Saccharomyces cerevisiae S288C: one gene and its partner. The gene in region 1 interacts genetically with each later gene. Each region holds a gene or a part of one and is shown in the gene's direction. Other genes may lie near its edges.

The links. A genetic interaction does not mean that the proteins touch.
Region 2: mutations in PAC1 (region 1) and STU1 together harm fitness more than expected from each alone (negative genetic interaction), as found in Saccharomyces cerevisiae (4 studies listed by BioGRID, with this or other methods).

Annotation. Positions count from the first base shown.
Region 1 is NC_001147.6:820,859-828,369, forward strand, and holds PAC1 (Pac1p), read left to right. Parts: upstream 1-5,526; coding exon 5,527-7,011; downstream 7,012-7,511. Other genes in the region: PNT1 (Pnt1p), read left to right, coding at 165-1,436; putative serine/threonine protein kinase HRK1, read right to left, coding at 1,730-4,009; YOR268C (uncharacterized protein), read right to left, coding at 4,676-5,074; VPH1 (H(+)-transporting V0 sector ATPase subunit a), read right to left, coding at 7,194-7,511.
Region 2 is NC_001134.8:151,856-160,237, reverse strand, and holds STU1 (Stu1p), read left to right. Parts: upstream 1-1,848; coding exon 1,849-6,390; downstream 6,391-8,382. Other genes in the region: HEK2 (Hek2p), read right to left, coding at 1-54; RIB1 (GTP cyclohydrolase II), read left to right, coding at 545-1,582; DNA-directed DNA polymerase alpha subunit POL12, read left to right, coding at 6,628-8,382.

The DNA of each region.
Region 1 (7,511 bases):
GAATAATAAATCTCGCTAGAAAATGCACGGAATATTATATGCAAAAGTAGAAAAGTGGAAGACGGCTGTTGATACAGTGACGAGATATAAGAACATTTTACTCTATATTTAAAAAGAACTTTATTAATCTATTTAATTGAGTTAACACCTTTAATGCCATCGATATGGATTCTCGAGTTGCACTGGTACGAAAATACATAGCACCATCGGTGATAAAAAGCGATTCTATTCAATTGCACGGTTTAGTGAAGGCACCACTATTTAAAGCGTTGAATAGCCGTTACAAATTAGGTTCACTACAGATAGTACAGGATGTCGATTGGAATGCGAAGACAACACCATCCGATTCTCCAGAGCCTCTGGCCGCTACTCTAAACTCTAATCGATCCCTACCAATGACTAAGTTCCCCAAGCAGGAGATCTTGGAACAGGTAAAATTGGATACTAAGGTTGGCAAATGGAGGAAATTCATGACAGGTTGGTTTAGAATTGGATTGTATCTTTTAAAAAGCTATAAAACAGGAATTCAGAACACGTTAAAAGTATTCTGGGATACTCGAAACGAAGAGCAGAAATTCAGCATAAAAAACGGTGCATTGGCTAACTTAGTACGGGAAATAGAAATGCATGAAATCAATACAAGACTATCGTCTTCATCATTGCCTACAAGTTCTTCAGCAAAAGCCCCATTAAGGCCACTTTCAATCAATAGGAAAACACTGGTGGAACTGATCAGACGAGATCAAATCTGGAAATTACCTGTATTTTTCACCTTAGTATTCATATTTGAGGAGGTAAGTGTATTGATCTTTACCTTTTTTCCACGTGTCTGTCCGTACAATTGTTTAACTCCTGGTGGATACAAGAAGCTTTCCAACTCATATATCAAGGGAACAACAAGCACACAAGGTAACTACGGTCTGGGTCCCTTAGAGTTTACTAAGCAAGGTACAATTAAGTATGAGCCACCATATGCAGTTCCTATTGAGAATTTGTATAATTTTCTGACAAGCTTTCCTCAAAGTATGATATCAAACTGGAAACTGTATATTTATAAAAAGTTAAAATTACAGAAGCTACTTTGCAATGAGATAGAAAAAATTTACCAGTATCTGTTTATCGATGACTGGTTGCTGTTGCAGAGTATACTCAACACTGATGTTGAGAAAACTAAAATCGCGCTAAGTGATAGAGAATTGGTTAACTGTATACTTGAAAGAAAACTTTATCACATGGGCGATGACTTGAATGAGATGGTTAATGACACGTTAGGGAAAGAAATCTTACTGAAAAGATTGTTTCTTTATTGGACATTAAGATATAATGACACTATATCCTTAAACGGAAAGCATACATTCAGTGAGAAATGGGGTGTCAACAATATATCATTGTTAAAATATAATTCAGAATTGGTAGCTACGAAAGATATTCAATAGATGTAAATATTCATGACATTATCTATGCTGTACATATTGTTTAAAACAAAAACTCTTTTAAACTTTTCTAATTGCAAATTCAAACAATAATTCAGTGATGTTTCTTGCTTTTGGAGCAAAGGGCAATGTTACTCTATATTGTATGTATAATATGATAGATACTCTTCCGTATATATAGTATATAGATTTTCGTCAAGCGTTTCAATTGGAAAGTGAAAGAAAAAAATAAGAAAAAATAGAAAATACAATTAAATTAATCGAAAAAAGAAGTGAAAATAATTGAGTAGTTCGTATTAAACCTTGTAGGTCTCTAAGTGAGCATTTTCCTCCCTAACCAATGTATGGTGATGGCCAGGCGCTCTAATAACTTTATTTTTTGAATCCATGGTACAGGCAGCAATGGCGGCAAACCATTCATCATTAAAAATATCATCTAAGGTTGCTCTTTTCTTTGGATCTACTTGCAGTATACGGGACATGATAGGTCTTGAAGCATGTGGTAGTAGACGTAATAGACGGTATGGGCCATGAATAATTTTTTTATGGTGAGGTCCTCTGTGCTGTTGACTCGATTTATTATCGGAAGCGATACTATGGGCCTTGTCTTGATTTTGATGCTGGTGATGATGGTGTTGTTGTTGTTGTTGTTGTTGTTGTTGTTGTTGTTGTTGTTGTTGTTGTTGTTGTTGTTGTGGATTGTTTTGGGGAACCATATCAGGGTTAGCGTTGGCAGCAGTGTTGACGTTAGTATCAACTTTAGCGTTACAATCCGATTCATTGCTGCAGTCATTGTTAGCATTACAATCCGTTTTGTCATTGCAGTCACTGTTAGCCTTGCAATCCACTCTGCCGTTAGAGTCACCATTAGCATCGCAATCAGCGTCGGCATCGGCATCTACTTTCTTTGGGTTAGCTGAAACTACCGTGCTTTTATTCTCATTTTTGCTTATTTTAATATCGATGGTACTTTCCTTGTCATTATCTGGCGTGCTTTCTTTATCATTATTGCTATCATCTTCTTTATTTTCTTCGGTTTCTTCTTCCACAATGTCTGGTTTGTTATCGCTTTTACCCTGTATAGATGCTGGAGTATTTGGAACTTGATTTTGAACTGTTTTCAAGTTTGATTCATGAGCTGGTTGTTGCTGATTGATGGCGGAACAGTCACTGTGATTCAAAAACCTTTGACGCTTTTCTTTTCTTTCCTTCAGTAACTCTTCGTGATGCCTGGCAGATTCAACATAGTCGTGTTCTATATCATCCGGCATACAATATAATCTAAAATTATCGTCAGAATCTCTAGGGGCTTTCCATGGAAACCTTTTAAGCACCATACAACAATATATGATCCCAATAGACCATATATCGACGCACTGAGGATCATAAGATTTGGTGGAGGTAATCACTTCCGGCGCTAAGTAAGGGTCACTACCCACGATTCCATGAGCCATCGTTACGCCATCTTCAAAAGGATATCTGAACACAACAGCACTACCAAAATCAATTAATTTCAAAATACCCTGGGAAGTCATGACACAATTATCCAATTTCAAATCTCTATGTGCCAATCCCATAGAATGTAAATATTTAACACCTTCAGTCAATTGCTTCAAGCAACAGTTGATCTCGCCACGAGACATCTTGCCTGTCATAACAACAGCAAAAAAATCAATCGGACAGTACTCCATAACTTCATAGTATTTATTTTGTTTAGAATCAGAGAAAACGTCAACAGTTTCGATAACATTTGGGTGATGTAAAGTCGAACCAATACAAAATTCTGCGGTGCACTTCTTGGCATATTCTTTCACACTCTCATTCGGTTTCCTTGGTCTGAATTCTTTGACGGCAAAAGTAGCACCATCAGTTGGTCTCACAAGAACTTTAACGGACCCACCGGCACCGGAACCCAATAACTTACCCAATTTCCCGTATTTTTGAGCCAGAATACAATCATCGTGATATATATTAATATTATTGGACAAAGATAGGATAGAATCGGTACTTGGCGGTATAGCAGACTGGGTATGAGCATAGTGGTCTGTAAAGCCATGAGGATGCTGGGCACGATAGTGATTATTTAAATTAACTGTAGAAGTTGATTTTGAAGGTGGGGGGGAATGGGTGCTATGTTTCTTGGAACGAAGTTGAGACATAGATAGTTTTTTATTTACAGAAGGTCTGAAAAACCTTTTCAATTCTGCCATGGAGTGGGTTTGTTTTGGAGAGGCGGGAGAAGTATAGTCATGGAGCCCATGAGAAATATTATGGTGGTGGTTTGTTTCATAGTTATTATTGTAGTTGTTTGTTGAGATACTGGTTGCATTAGAATGGCTATGGGTGTTGTTATTAAGGTTTGTTGTAGTATAATTTGTAGTGGTTGTGGTAGATTTCATGGAATCTGTAGATTTCTCGCTTCTTAGTGAGTCATTACTTTGTTTTCTACCAATGAAGTTTAAGAAAGATTTAGAACTTCTGATCAACTGTGGCGGGTTATTAGACGAATTTTCACGGTCATGATGATGGTCATTATGATGACCATGGAATGGGTTTCTCGACAATAGATTAGGCATCTTTATACGAGAAATAGTTCTACCGTATTATTATAATTATTAGTGTTATTATTTTTGTTTTCGATCAATTCTAGCGGAGCTACAATGTGGTAGTCAAACGCTGCTATTGTATTTAATTCCGGCTCGAGACCAGTCTGGAAAGTCGACGTATATCGTTACTACTATCCTTTTTTTATTATTCCTACTATTTCCTTATTGAAAAAGTGGAAAACTGTTAAATCTGGAAATTCTTCACGATTCTAGAAAAATAGGAGGTGAAGAAGATTTCTAAGCTTTTTGAAAAAAACGGGAAAAGGAAGAGGCCCAAAAAAGTGAAAAAAAACTGTGTGTGTGAAATGTAAACGAACTTTGCTCCCTCTAGGAAAAACTTCTTTAAGCGGTTGGGAACTGTCTTGGGCTTACTTGTTTGTAAACAGTTGTATGAATGATTCTATATGCTAATTCTCAGTTTGTCTCTCTTAAAGATTTGTCACTCTGAAATATATAGCCAAATAGAACTAGGCGAAGAAAAAGAAAAGGGGCGGCGACGACGTAGGGGTCAGGTAGAAGAGTTGGGCACTTATTGGCGATATAAAAGACAAAATACACTAATGCAAGAGTATGGTGAGCGAAAGGAAAATAAAGAAAGGCTACGTTATTGACGGATATATGAATCAAGACACAAGACTATTTTGTATAGTAAGCAGAACCGGCTTGTGTTTGTGATTCATGGATCAACGAGACGGTAGCGAATAAGCACCAACGGAAAAAAAGAAAACATACGCATACATGCACGTACAAGATAAAAAAAGCACAGGTGTGGTGGTAGTATTGGGATAACCAGGCACACGCTACTGCGAGATAGCAAAAGACCCTTCCCGTAAACCGCTCGGATAAACCGATTTTGTCCTTTAGCGTGACACGGATTATACGCGGGGATCCGGCGTCACAAGCCACGGCCCGTCCCGTCCGCGTGGTTTTTAATTCTGGCTCCGCGTAGTACATTTTGTAGCTTGCCTTTTTTCCGGCTTCTAGAAAACTGGAAAAACCATAAGAAAAAAATGGGAAGGGGAAAACAAAAACCATTCAGGTCTTGCGTGCCGAGAATTTTTTTTTTCTCTTTTTCGTTGTCAACTTTTGCAGTAGCAGCCGCTGGCGACCCGGACGGTAGCCATGGCAACGGTTAGCTAATGGTAGGTAAATAAAACGAGTAACGACGTTTTAGTATATCTTGGTAAACTACAATTAGATCTTAAAACGGTTCCTGAAAAAGTGCTTTCATCTACCATTGAATTTAATTCACTTCCCTTTATGGAATTTGCACTGGTTTTGTGCTGTGGGATGTGGGTGTTTTGAAATATTTTCAGCTTGCAAGTCGTGCATATTGCACTTGTTTCTTATTTTTGGCGAGTGTAAACGTAATAGGTAATCTTAGTATTGGGCCATCGTCGCCCAGATAGCCATTGATAAAGCAGCTAGGTTCGTCGTCCGGTTGTTGGTATACACCTGTGCGTGCGTAAGTGTAGAAAAAAATAGAAATGACTAACTGGCAGCAACAGCTTCCTTTAACAGATACACAGAAAAATGAACTCGATAAAAGTGTCCTCCGATATTTGAATTGGAATTACAAACAAACTGTACGACATGAGCATGCTCAAGATTACGAAAGTGTTCGACATGCAATTGTAACTCTATCAGGTTTTCTGTTGCAAGAATCAGTGGACCGGCAAGAATTCATCAGTAACAATGACACCAGTAACGAAAGTATGGTAGACATTGATGAATTACTGCTACCGAAGAAGTGGAACTCAATTGTTAGACTACAAAAAAAAATCATTGAATTGGAGCAGAATACAGAGACCCTTGTATCTCAGATTAAAGATTTGAACACTCAAGTGTCAGAACTAGCACAATTCAAACCTACCACCAGTAACGGCACCAGCGCACATAATGTTTTGAAATGGATACCGAGAAATCTACCAAGCTGTTTAATTAATGTTGAATCATCTGTCACTTCCGTCAAACTACATCCCAATTTGCCTATAGTGTTTGTGGCCACAGATCATGGCAAATTATACGCATTTGATTTATTTAACTACACCATCCCTCTGGCATCCTTGCAAAGTCATACCAAGGCAATTACCTCCATGGATGTTTTATTTACCAATTATACGAACTCCAGCAAGAAGAACTATTTGGTGATCGTTACCGCGTCTAAAGATTTGCAGATTCATGTTTTCAAGTGGGTCTCCGAGGAATGCAAGTTCCAACAAATTAGGTCTTTATTGGGCCATGAGCATATTGTCTCTGCGGTAAAAATCTGGCAGAAAAATAATGATGTCCATATAGCGTCCTGTTCCAGAGATCAAACTGTTAAAATTTGGGACTTCCACAATGGTTGGTCGTTGAAAACATTTCAGCCTCATTCCCAATGGGTTCGTTCCATAGACGTTCTAGGCGATTACATCATCTCTGGTTCACATGACACTACATTAAGGTTAACACATTGGCCATCAGGTAATGGTCTTAGTGTTGGCACGGGTCATGAATTTCCCATAGAGAAAGTTAAATTTATTCATTTCATCGAAGACTCTCCGGAGATAAGGTTTAGAACACCATCAACGGATCGATATAAGAATTGGGGGATGCAATATTGTGTCTCAGCGTCAAGAGATAGAACGATAAAAATCTGGGAGATACCTCTACCTACGTTAATGGCCCATAGAGCACCCATACCGAATCCTACAGATTCAAATTTCAGATGTGTTCTTACGTTGAAGGGGCATCTTTCGTGGGTTAGAGATATTAGTATTCGAGGCCAATACTTGTTTTCTTGTGCTGATGATAAATCTGTCAGATGTTGGGATCTGAACACGGGGCAGTGCTTACACGTTTGGGAAAAGTTGCATACAGGATTTGTCAACTGTTTAGACCTGGATGTGGATTTCGATTCTAACGTTACCCCAAGGCAAATGATGGTCACTGGTGGATTGGATTGCAAGTCTAACGTTTTCATGAGATAAGTTTGGCTTTCCTATTTCTTTTTCCCTTTTTTTTGACTCTTTTTAAGCATTGGTTGATACTTTAAATACTTTATTGAATTAGCATTGATAGTATATAATAAGGTTTACTCACTATATAGTAGCATCATTTATTATTTAATGAAGTACTTAAATGTTTCGCTTTTTTTAAAAGTCCTCAAAATTTAGCTTGAAGCGGAAGAGCTTGCACTAGCAACAGCGACTTCCATGTCTTTATACTCAAATGCGAATGGTTCGTATGGTAAACCTTCACCCACGAAAAACTTGGACATAGATTCAACCCAGTGCAAACGTAAGGAATGAAGCATGGCAGATGTACCTTCCATCAAAACAAGAACTGCACATGTTAGTGCGAACCACATGGCAAAAAGTGCAACCGTCATAAACACACCCACAAATCCTCTAAATCCAAAGGCAATTTGAATTGTCATTGTCCATAAAACACTAGACAATTGAGCATGTGCCAATGATAAGGCCCATAA
Region 2 (8,382 bases), on another chromosome or scaffold:
GGTATTGTTTGTGGGAATTGCAACGGGAGTAGCAGCTTCGAAGAACTGTGACATGGCTGGTATATATACTAATGCTGTCTCTAAGTTACCCGATAAGTTGATGCTTTGTTGTACAGGGGACGCGCGATAGGAGTGGGGAGCAATATGCTTTTACTTCGTATGCCAAGTAGTTATATATGCTCGGGTACTTATGCTCCAGATTATAGTCTTGTTTGTTGTTTGGCTGAGCGGCCGGACACACAGAAAAAAAACAAAAGGGCTTTCGTTAAAAGGGATAGGGTAATGTCTAGACTTAGCATAGGGCTAAAACAGAAATAGTAGGGTCTATACCGTTTTTGAAAACAAGTTGTGTAGGGTGAGACTTTTTCTTTTTCCTTTGAGTTTTTCTTTTTCTTTTTACGATTTGTCAGAAATTAGTCGGACGCTCTTGTGGGGTGAGCGCCAGCGCCGCTATAGTATATATAAAGAAGTTGCTGTGCTGGCGTGGACAATAATTGAGTCATTACAAAAAGTGGCGTACATAAAACTACAACAAACCTACAGGATGACCATAGATAACTACGACAACAGTAAACAGGATAGCAGCAAATACGAGGTTAGTGGTACGGGTGATGGCAGGAACGGCGATGGCGGCTTGCCTCTAGTACAATGTGTCGCAAGAGCTCGTATCCCAACCACACAGGGTCCGGATATCTTTTTACATCTTTACAGTAACAACAGGGACAACAAGGAACATCTAGCCATTGTGTTTGGTGAAGACATACGGTCGCGCTCGCTATTCCGTAGAAGACAGTGCGAGACGCAACAAGATAGAATGATCAGGGGCGCTTATATTGGCAAACTGTATCCCGGCAGAACTGTGGCAGACGAAGACGATAGACTCGGATTAGCTCTGGAGTTTGATGATAGTACAGGTGAGTTATTAGCTTCCAAAGCCACTACATGGGACGCCCATAACGACACGCTGGTACGGATCCATTCTGAATGTTACACCGGTGAAAACGCATGGAGCGCCCGTTGTGATTGTGGTGAACAATTCGATAGGGCCGGTAGGCTTATCGCTTGCGACCACGAACCCACAAGCAACATCAAAGGTGGAAACGGCCATGGTGTTATCGTGTATCTAAGACAAGAGGGTCGTGGCATCGGGTTAGGTGAGAAACTCAAGGCCTACAACCTGCAAGACTTAGGTGCTGACACAGTGCAGGCCAACTTAATGCTGAAACATCCCGTGGATGCTAGGGACTTCTCGCTGGGTAAGGCTATTTTGCTGGATCTTGGCATCGGTAATGTCAGGCTGCTGACAAATAACCCGGAAAAGATAAAACAGGTAGATCATGCGCCTTACCTTAAGTGCGTTGAACGAGTGCCTATGGTACCCATACACTGGACAAACTCCAGTGAAGGCATAGACTCCAAGGAGATAGAAGGTTATCTCAGGACCAAGATAGAAAGAATGGGTCATTTACTAACGGAGCCTCTGAAACTTCATACAAACCCTCAACCTACTGAGACAAGTGAAGCCCAAAACCAAAACCGTATGAACTCTGCGTTGTCATCAACATCGACGCTGGCAATATAAACACAAGTGTAGCATAATTATTAGTACATATAGTGCTTTTTTTGTAATGAAACGAAAATACCATGTTATTTTAATGCGTTACCCCGTCGGCGCGTATTGGCGCATTAACATCTTTATAGAAAATCAAATTATTTACTTATTTATTCTAAAACGCTAAACATCTATTTATTTACATTTGAGGTTGAAACTTCCCTTCATCCGATTGACAGGCATATTTAGCGGTAATTATTAGGGTTTTTGGAGAGACCTTGTATTCTTCAGAAATAATGTCGTCCTTCAACAATGAGACCAATAATAACAGCAACACTAATACACATCCAGACGATTCCTTCCCTTTGTATACCGTATTCAAGGACGAGTCTGTACCCATCGAGGAAAAAATGGCACTGCTTACACGGTTCAAAGGACATGTAAAAAAGGAACTAGTTAACGAATCGTCGATCCAAGCTTATTTCGCTGCGTTACTGTTCATCTCCGGCCATTACGCTTACCGTTCGTACCCGCGGTTAATCTTCCTATCACATTCCTCGCTTTGTTACCTTATCAAACGTGTGGCCATGCAGTCTCCAGTACAATTCAATGACACTCTAGTTGAGCAATTACTAAACCACTTAATTTTCGAGTTGCCTAATGAGAAGAAATTTTGGCTGGCTTCCATTAAAGCCATTGAAGCCATTTATTTGGTTAATCCATCGAAGATCCAAGCTATTCTAGCAAATTTCTTGCGAAGACCAAGTGAAAACCAAAACGGAGATTACCTGAATAGGATAAAATCTACATTATTGACCATCGATGAGTTGATCCAGATCAACGAGAAAAATAATTCAAATCATTTGCAACTACTGAGGTTTTTCATGCTGTCTTTCACCAACCTTTTAAATAACAACCTAAATGAACACGCAAACGATGATAACAATAATGTAATAATAGAGCTTATTTTCGATATAATGTACAAGTATTTGAAAATGGATGACGAAAATTCACAGGATCTGATAGATGGATTTATTAACGATTTAGAAGTTGAGAAATTCAAGCAAAAATTCATAAGTTTAGCAAAGTCACAGGACCAGCATGGTTCACAAGAAGATAAATCGACCTTGTTTGACGAAGAGTACGAGTTTCAATTACTATTAGCCGAAGCGAAATTGCCGCAGTTATCAAACAACTTGAGCAGTAAAGACCCAGCGATGAAAAAAAACTATGAGTCTTTGAACCAATTACAACAAGACTTGGAGAATTTGTTGGCACCGTTCCAAAGTGTAAAGGAAACAGAACAAAATTGGAAGCTAAGGCAATCAAATATAATTGAATTAGACAACATTATATCCGGCAACATTCCCAAAGATAATCCAGAGGAATTTGTCACTGTAATAAAGGAGGTGCAGTTGATTGAGTTGATTTCAAGAGCTACCTCGTCGTTGAGGACAACGTTATCATTAACTGCATTACTTTTCCTCAAGAGGCTAATCCATATCCTAAACGATCAGTTGCCCCTATCAATATTGGACCAAATATTTGTCATTTTCAAGAACTTGTTATCATCTACCAAGAAAATCTCTTCACAAACTGCATTTCATTGTTTAATTACTTTGATCATTGATATAAATCATTTCCATAATAAACTATTCCAATTATCTTTTTTATTAATAAATGAGAAAACCGTAACACCGAGATTTTGCTCTGCAATACTGCTGCGTAGCTTCCTGATTAAGTTCAACGACTCCAATCTTTCGCTCAACAATTCAAATACAACTTCGCCAACCTCAAAGTTGGAGAATAACATCATATACATCGAAGAATGGCTAAAAAAGGGCATTTCAGATTCACAGACAACCGTTAGAGAGGCAATGAGGTTAACTTTTTGGTATTTCTACAAATGTTATCCTACAAATGCCAAAAGATTATTGAGTTCTTCCTTTTCTCCACAGTTGAAAAAAGCAACAGAATTGGCAATCCCTGCTCATTTGAATATAAACTATCAAGTTTCCAGGGTGTCCTCTACTGCCTCCGCCTCCTCTGCAACGTCTCGATTGTACTCTCACTCTTCGAATAATTCTTCAAGAAAAACCAGTTTACTGGAGCAGAAAAGGAACTATCCAAGTTATGCCCAACCGACTCAATCTTCCTCCACCTCCCTACTCAACGCTCCTGCAGTCACAGCTGGTGGAAGTGTCATAGCCAGTAAACTATCAAATAAGCTGAAAACAAACTTAAGGTCTACTAGTGAATATTCAAGTAAAGAAAATGAAAAAAGGGCAAGGCATCATGACAGTATGAACTCTGTTTCAAACAGCAACACCAAAGATAATAATAATGTTACTAAAAGAAAAGTTAGTGCCCCTCCTTCTTCTACTGCCGCCACAAAAGTATCTGAAAATTACACAAATTTTGATGACTTTCCGTCAAACCAAATCGACTTGACTGATGAGTTATCAAATAGTTACTCTAACCCGTTGATAAAGAAATATATGGATAAAAATGATGTTTCGATGTCATCTTCTCCAATCTCATTAAAAGGCAGTAATAAACTTGGTGAATATGAAACCCTTTACAAAAAATTCAATGATGCTTCGTTTCCAGCTCAGATCAAAGATGCTTTACAGTATTTACAAAAGGAGTTACTGTTGACATCGCAACAGTCATCATCAGCCCCAAAATTTGAATTTCCCATGATTATGAAAAAGCTACGCCAAATTATGATAAAGTCACCAAATGATTTCAAGCCATTTTTGAGTATAGAGAAGTTTACAAATGGAGTTCCCTTAAATTACCTCATTGAGCTATATTCTATTAATAGTTTTGATTACGCGGAAATCTTAAAGAATAGAATGAATCCTGAAAAGCCCTACGAGCTTACTAACTTGATTATAACTATCGCGGATTTATTCAATTTCTTGAATGCCAATAATTGTCCGAATGATTTCAAACTATACTATATGAAATACAAAACCACTTTTTTCAATTATAATTTCAAGTTACTTTTAGAGATTTTCCGTAACTTGAACATAAAACATGATAACACTCTGAGGTCAGGAACGAACGATCTCATGCCTAAAATATCAATGATACTCTTTCAAATCTACGGTAAAGAGTTTGACTACACATGTTATTTCAATCTAATTTTTGAAATTTATAAATTCGATAATAATCGTTTTAATAAATTGCTAGCTGATTTTGACATTGTATCTACCAAGATGAAAATCTGTCATGAACTTGAAAAGAAGGATGCCAACTTTAAGGTAGAAGACATCATTTCTAGAGAAAGTTCTGTAAGCTTCACTCCCATCGACAATAAAAAATCTGAAGGGGATGAGGAATCCGACGATGCTGTAGACGAAAATGATGTTAAGAAATGCATGGAAATGACAATGATTAATCCCTTCAAAAACTTGGAAACTGATAAAACACTAGAGTTGAAGAATAACGTTGGAAAAAGAACATCAAGCACAGACAGCGTAGTTATTCATGATGATAATGACAAAGATAAAAAGCTTTCAGAAATGACGAAAATAGTAAGTGTTTATCAACTGGACCAGCCAAACCCAGCAAAGGAGGAAGATGATATAGATATGGAAAATTCTCAAAAATCTGATTTGAATTTAAGTGAAATTTTTCAAAACAGTGGTGAAAATACCGAAAGGAAATTGAAGGACGATAATGAACCAACAGTAAAATTCAGTACAGATCCTCCAAAGATAATAAATGAGCCAGAAAAACTTATTGGAAATGGGAATGAGAATGAAAAGCCTGATTTGGAAACAATGTCACCAATCAAAATAAACGGGGACGAGAATATGGGTCAAAAGCAAAGGATCACAGTAAAGAGAGAAAGAGACGTAGCACTAACTGAACAAGACATAAACTCCAAAAAGATGAAACTAGTTAATAACAAAAAATCAGAGAAGATGCATTTGCTTATCATGGATAATTTCCCAAGGGATTCCTTGACTGTATATGAAATTAGTCATCTTTTAATGGTTGATTCTAATGGCAACACTTTGATGGATTTTGATGTCTATTTCAATCACATGTCAAAGGCAATAAACAGGATAAAAAGTGGATCGTTCACTATGAAACATATAAATTACCTGATCGAACCCTTGATTACTTGTTTTCAAAATCAAAAAATGACCGATTGGTTGACGAATGAAAATGGTTTTGATGAACTACTGGATGTTGCTATTATGCTTTTGAAATCTACTGATGACACGCCTTCAATTCCATCAAAAATATCCAGTAAGTCCATAATTCTCGTTCATTGTCTTTTGGTTTGGAAAAAGTTTCTAAATACACTAAGCGAGAATGCCGACGATGATGGCGTTTCGGTGAGAATGTGTTTCGAAGAAGTATGGGAACAGATCCTTTTAATGCTTAATAAATTTTCTGATTATGGAAACGAAATCTATAAATTAGCGCAAGAGTTCAGGGACAGTCTAATGTTATCGCACTTTTTCAAAAAACATTCGGCAACAAGAATTCTAAGCATGTTGGTTACTGAAATTCAGCCTGACACCGCTGGTGTGAAAGAAACATTTTTAATTGAGACCTTATGGAAGATGCTGCAATCTCCTACCATTTGCCAACAATTCAAGAAATCTAATATATCAGAGATTATCCAAACAATGAGCTATTTCATTATGGGGACTGATAATACTTCGTGGAACTTCACCAGTGCCGTGGTATTAGCTCGTTGTTTGAGAGTCCTCCAAACTACTCCAGATTATACTGAGCAAGAAACCGAACGATTATTCGATTGTTTGCCTAAGAATGTCTTTAAAATGATCATGTTCATCGCCTCAAACGAATAGAGAATAGCGTGGTAGACGCGTAATTTTTTTTTACCGTGACGCGTCTCACCAGAGTTTCTTAGTTCTTTCTCTTTTCTAAAACTGTAATAATATGAGCTCTTTGTAGACACATATAACATTTTGTTTCATATACATAATATATTTGCATATAAAAATATCAAGATAATTGATTGTCAATTGGTTCAACAAAGCTTGAAGGTAAATTTAGGCAGGAGCAAGTGACTGAAAAAAAAAAAAATGAGCGGATCTATCGATGTCATCACTCATTTTGGGCCTGATGCAGACAAGCCGGAAATCATCACTGCATTAGAGAATTTAACTAAACTGCATGCATTGTCCGTCGAGGATCTATACATTAAATGGGAGCAGTTCTCCAATCAAAGGCGTCAAACTCACACAGATCTGACTTCCAAGAACATAGATGAGTTTAAACAATTTTTACAATTACAAATGGAAAAGCGTGCTAACCAAATTTCATCGTCCTCTAAGGTAAACACATCCACAAAAAAACCAGTGATTAAAAAAAGTTTGAATTCAAGTCCCTTGTTTGGCCTTAGTATTCCAAAGACTCCGACTTTAAAAAAAAGAAAGTTACATGGTCCCTTTTCACTCAGTGATTCCAAGCAAACATATAATGTAGGCTCTGAGGCAGAAACAAATGAAAAAGGAAATAGTTCTTTAAAATTGGAGTTTACTCCAGGCATGGCAGAAGATGCTGTGGGTGACAGTGCTCCATTGTCCCACGCTAAAAGCTCGGATGCCAAGACTCCCGGCTCGTCGACATTCCAAACTCCAACAACAAACACTCCTACCACATCGAGGCAAAATGTTCCTGCTGGTGAAATTTTGGATTCTTTGAACCCTGAAAATATTGAAATATCATCTGGTAATCCAAATGTAGGCCTTCTTTCGACTGAAGAACCATCATATAACCAGGTCAAAGTAGAACCATTTTATGATGCTAAAAAGTATAAATTCAGAACAATGAGGCAAAACTTACAGGAAGCGTCTGATGTCCTCGATGATCAAATTGAATCGTTTACTAAGATTATTCAAAATCACTATAAGTTATCTCCAAACGACTTCGCTGATCCAACTATTCAATCTCAGTCCGAAATTTATGCTGTTGGAAGGATAGTTCCAGATTCGCCGACCTACGACAAGTTTTTGAATCCAGAATCGCTTTCCCTAGAGACCTCAAGAATGGGCGGCGTTGGAAGAAGGGTAAGGTTAGATCTATCGCAGGTCAACGAGCTTTCGTTTTTCTTAGGCCAAATTGTGGCATTCAAAGGTAAAAATGCTAATGGGGATTACTTCACCGTTAACTCTATTTTGCCGCTACCTTATCCAAACTCCCCAGTGTCCACATCGCAGGAACTGCAGGAGTTTCAAGCAAATTTGGAAGGTTCTTCTTTGAAGGTTATCGTGACCTGTGGCCCATACTTTGCAAATGATAACTTCTCCCTCGAATTGTTGCAAGAATTTATCGATAGTATAAATAATGAGGTAAAACCTCACGTCTTGATAATGTTTGGCCCATTTATAGATATCACCCATCCTCTGATAGCGAGTGGTAAATTGCCAAATTTTCCCCAGTTCAAGACACAGCCCAAAACATTGGACGAGCTTTTTTTGAAGTTATTTACTCCTATTCTAAAAACCATATCACCACATATCCAAACCGTATTGATACCCTCCACAAAAGATGCAATTTCTAATCACGCCGCATATCCACAAGCTTCTTTAATTAGAAAGGCTTTACAGCTGCCTAAAAGGAACTTCAAATGCATGGCTAATCCTTCATCTTTTCAAATAAATGAGATATACTTCGGTTGCTCAAACGTTGATACATTCAAAGATCTAAAGGAAGTCATAAAAGGCGGTACTACCTCATCAAGATATAGATTAGATCGTGTTTCTGAGCATATTTTACAACAGCGCAGGTATTACCCCATATTTCCAGGTAGTATTCGTACAAGAATAAAACCAAAA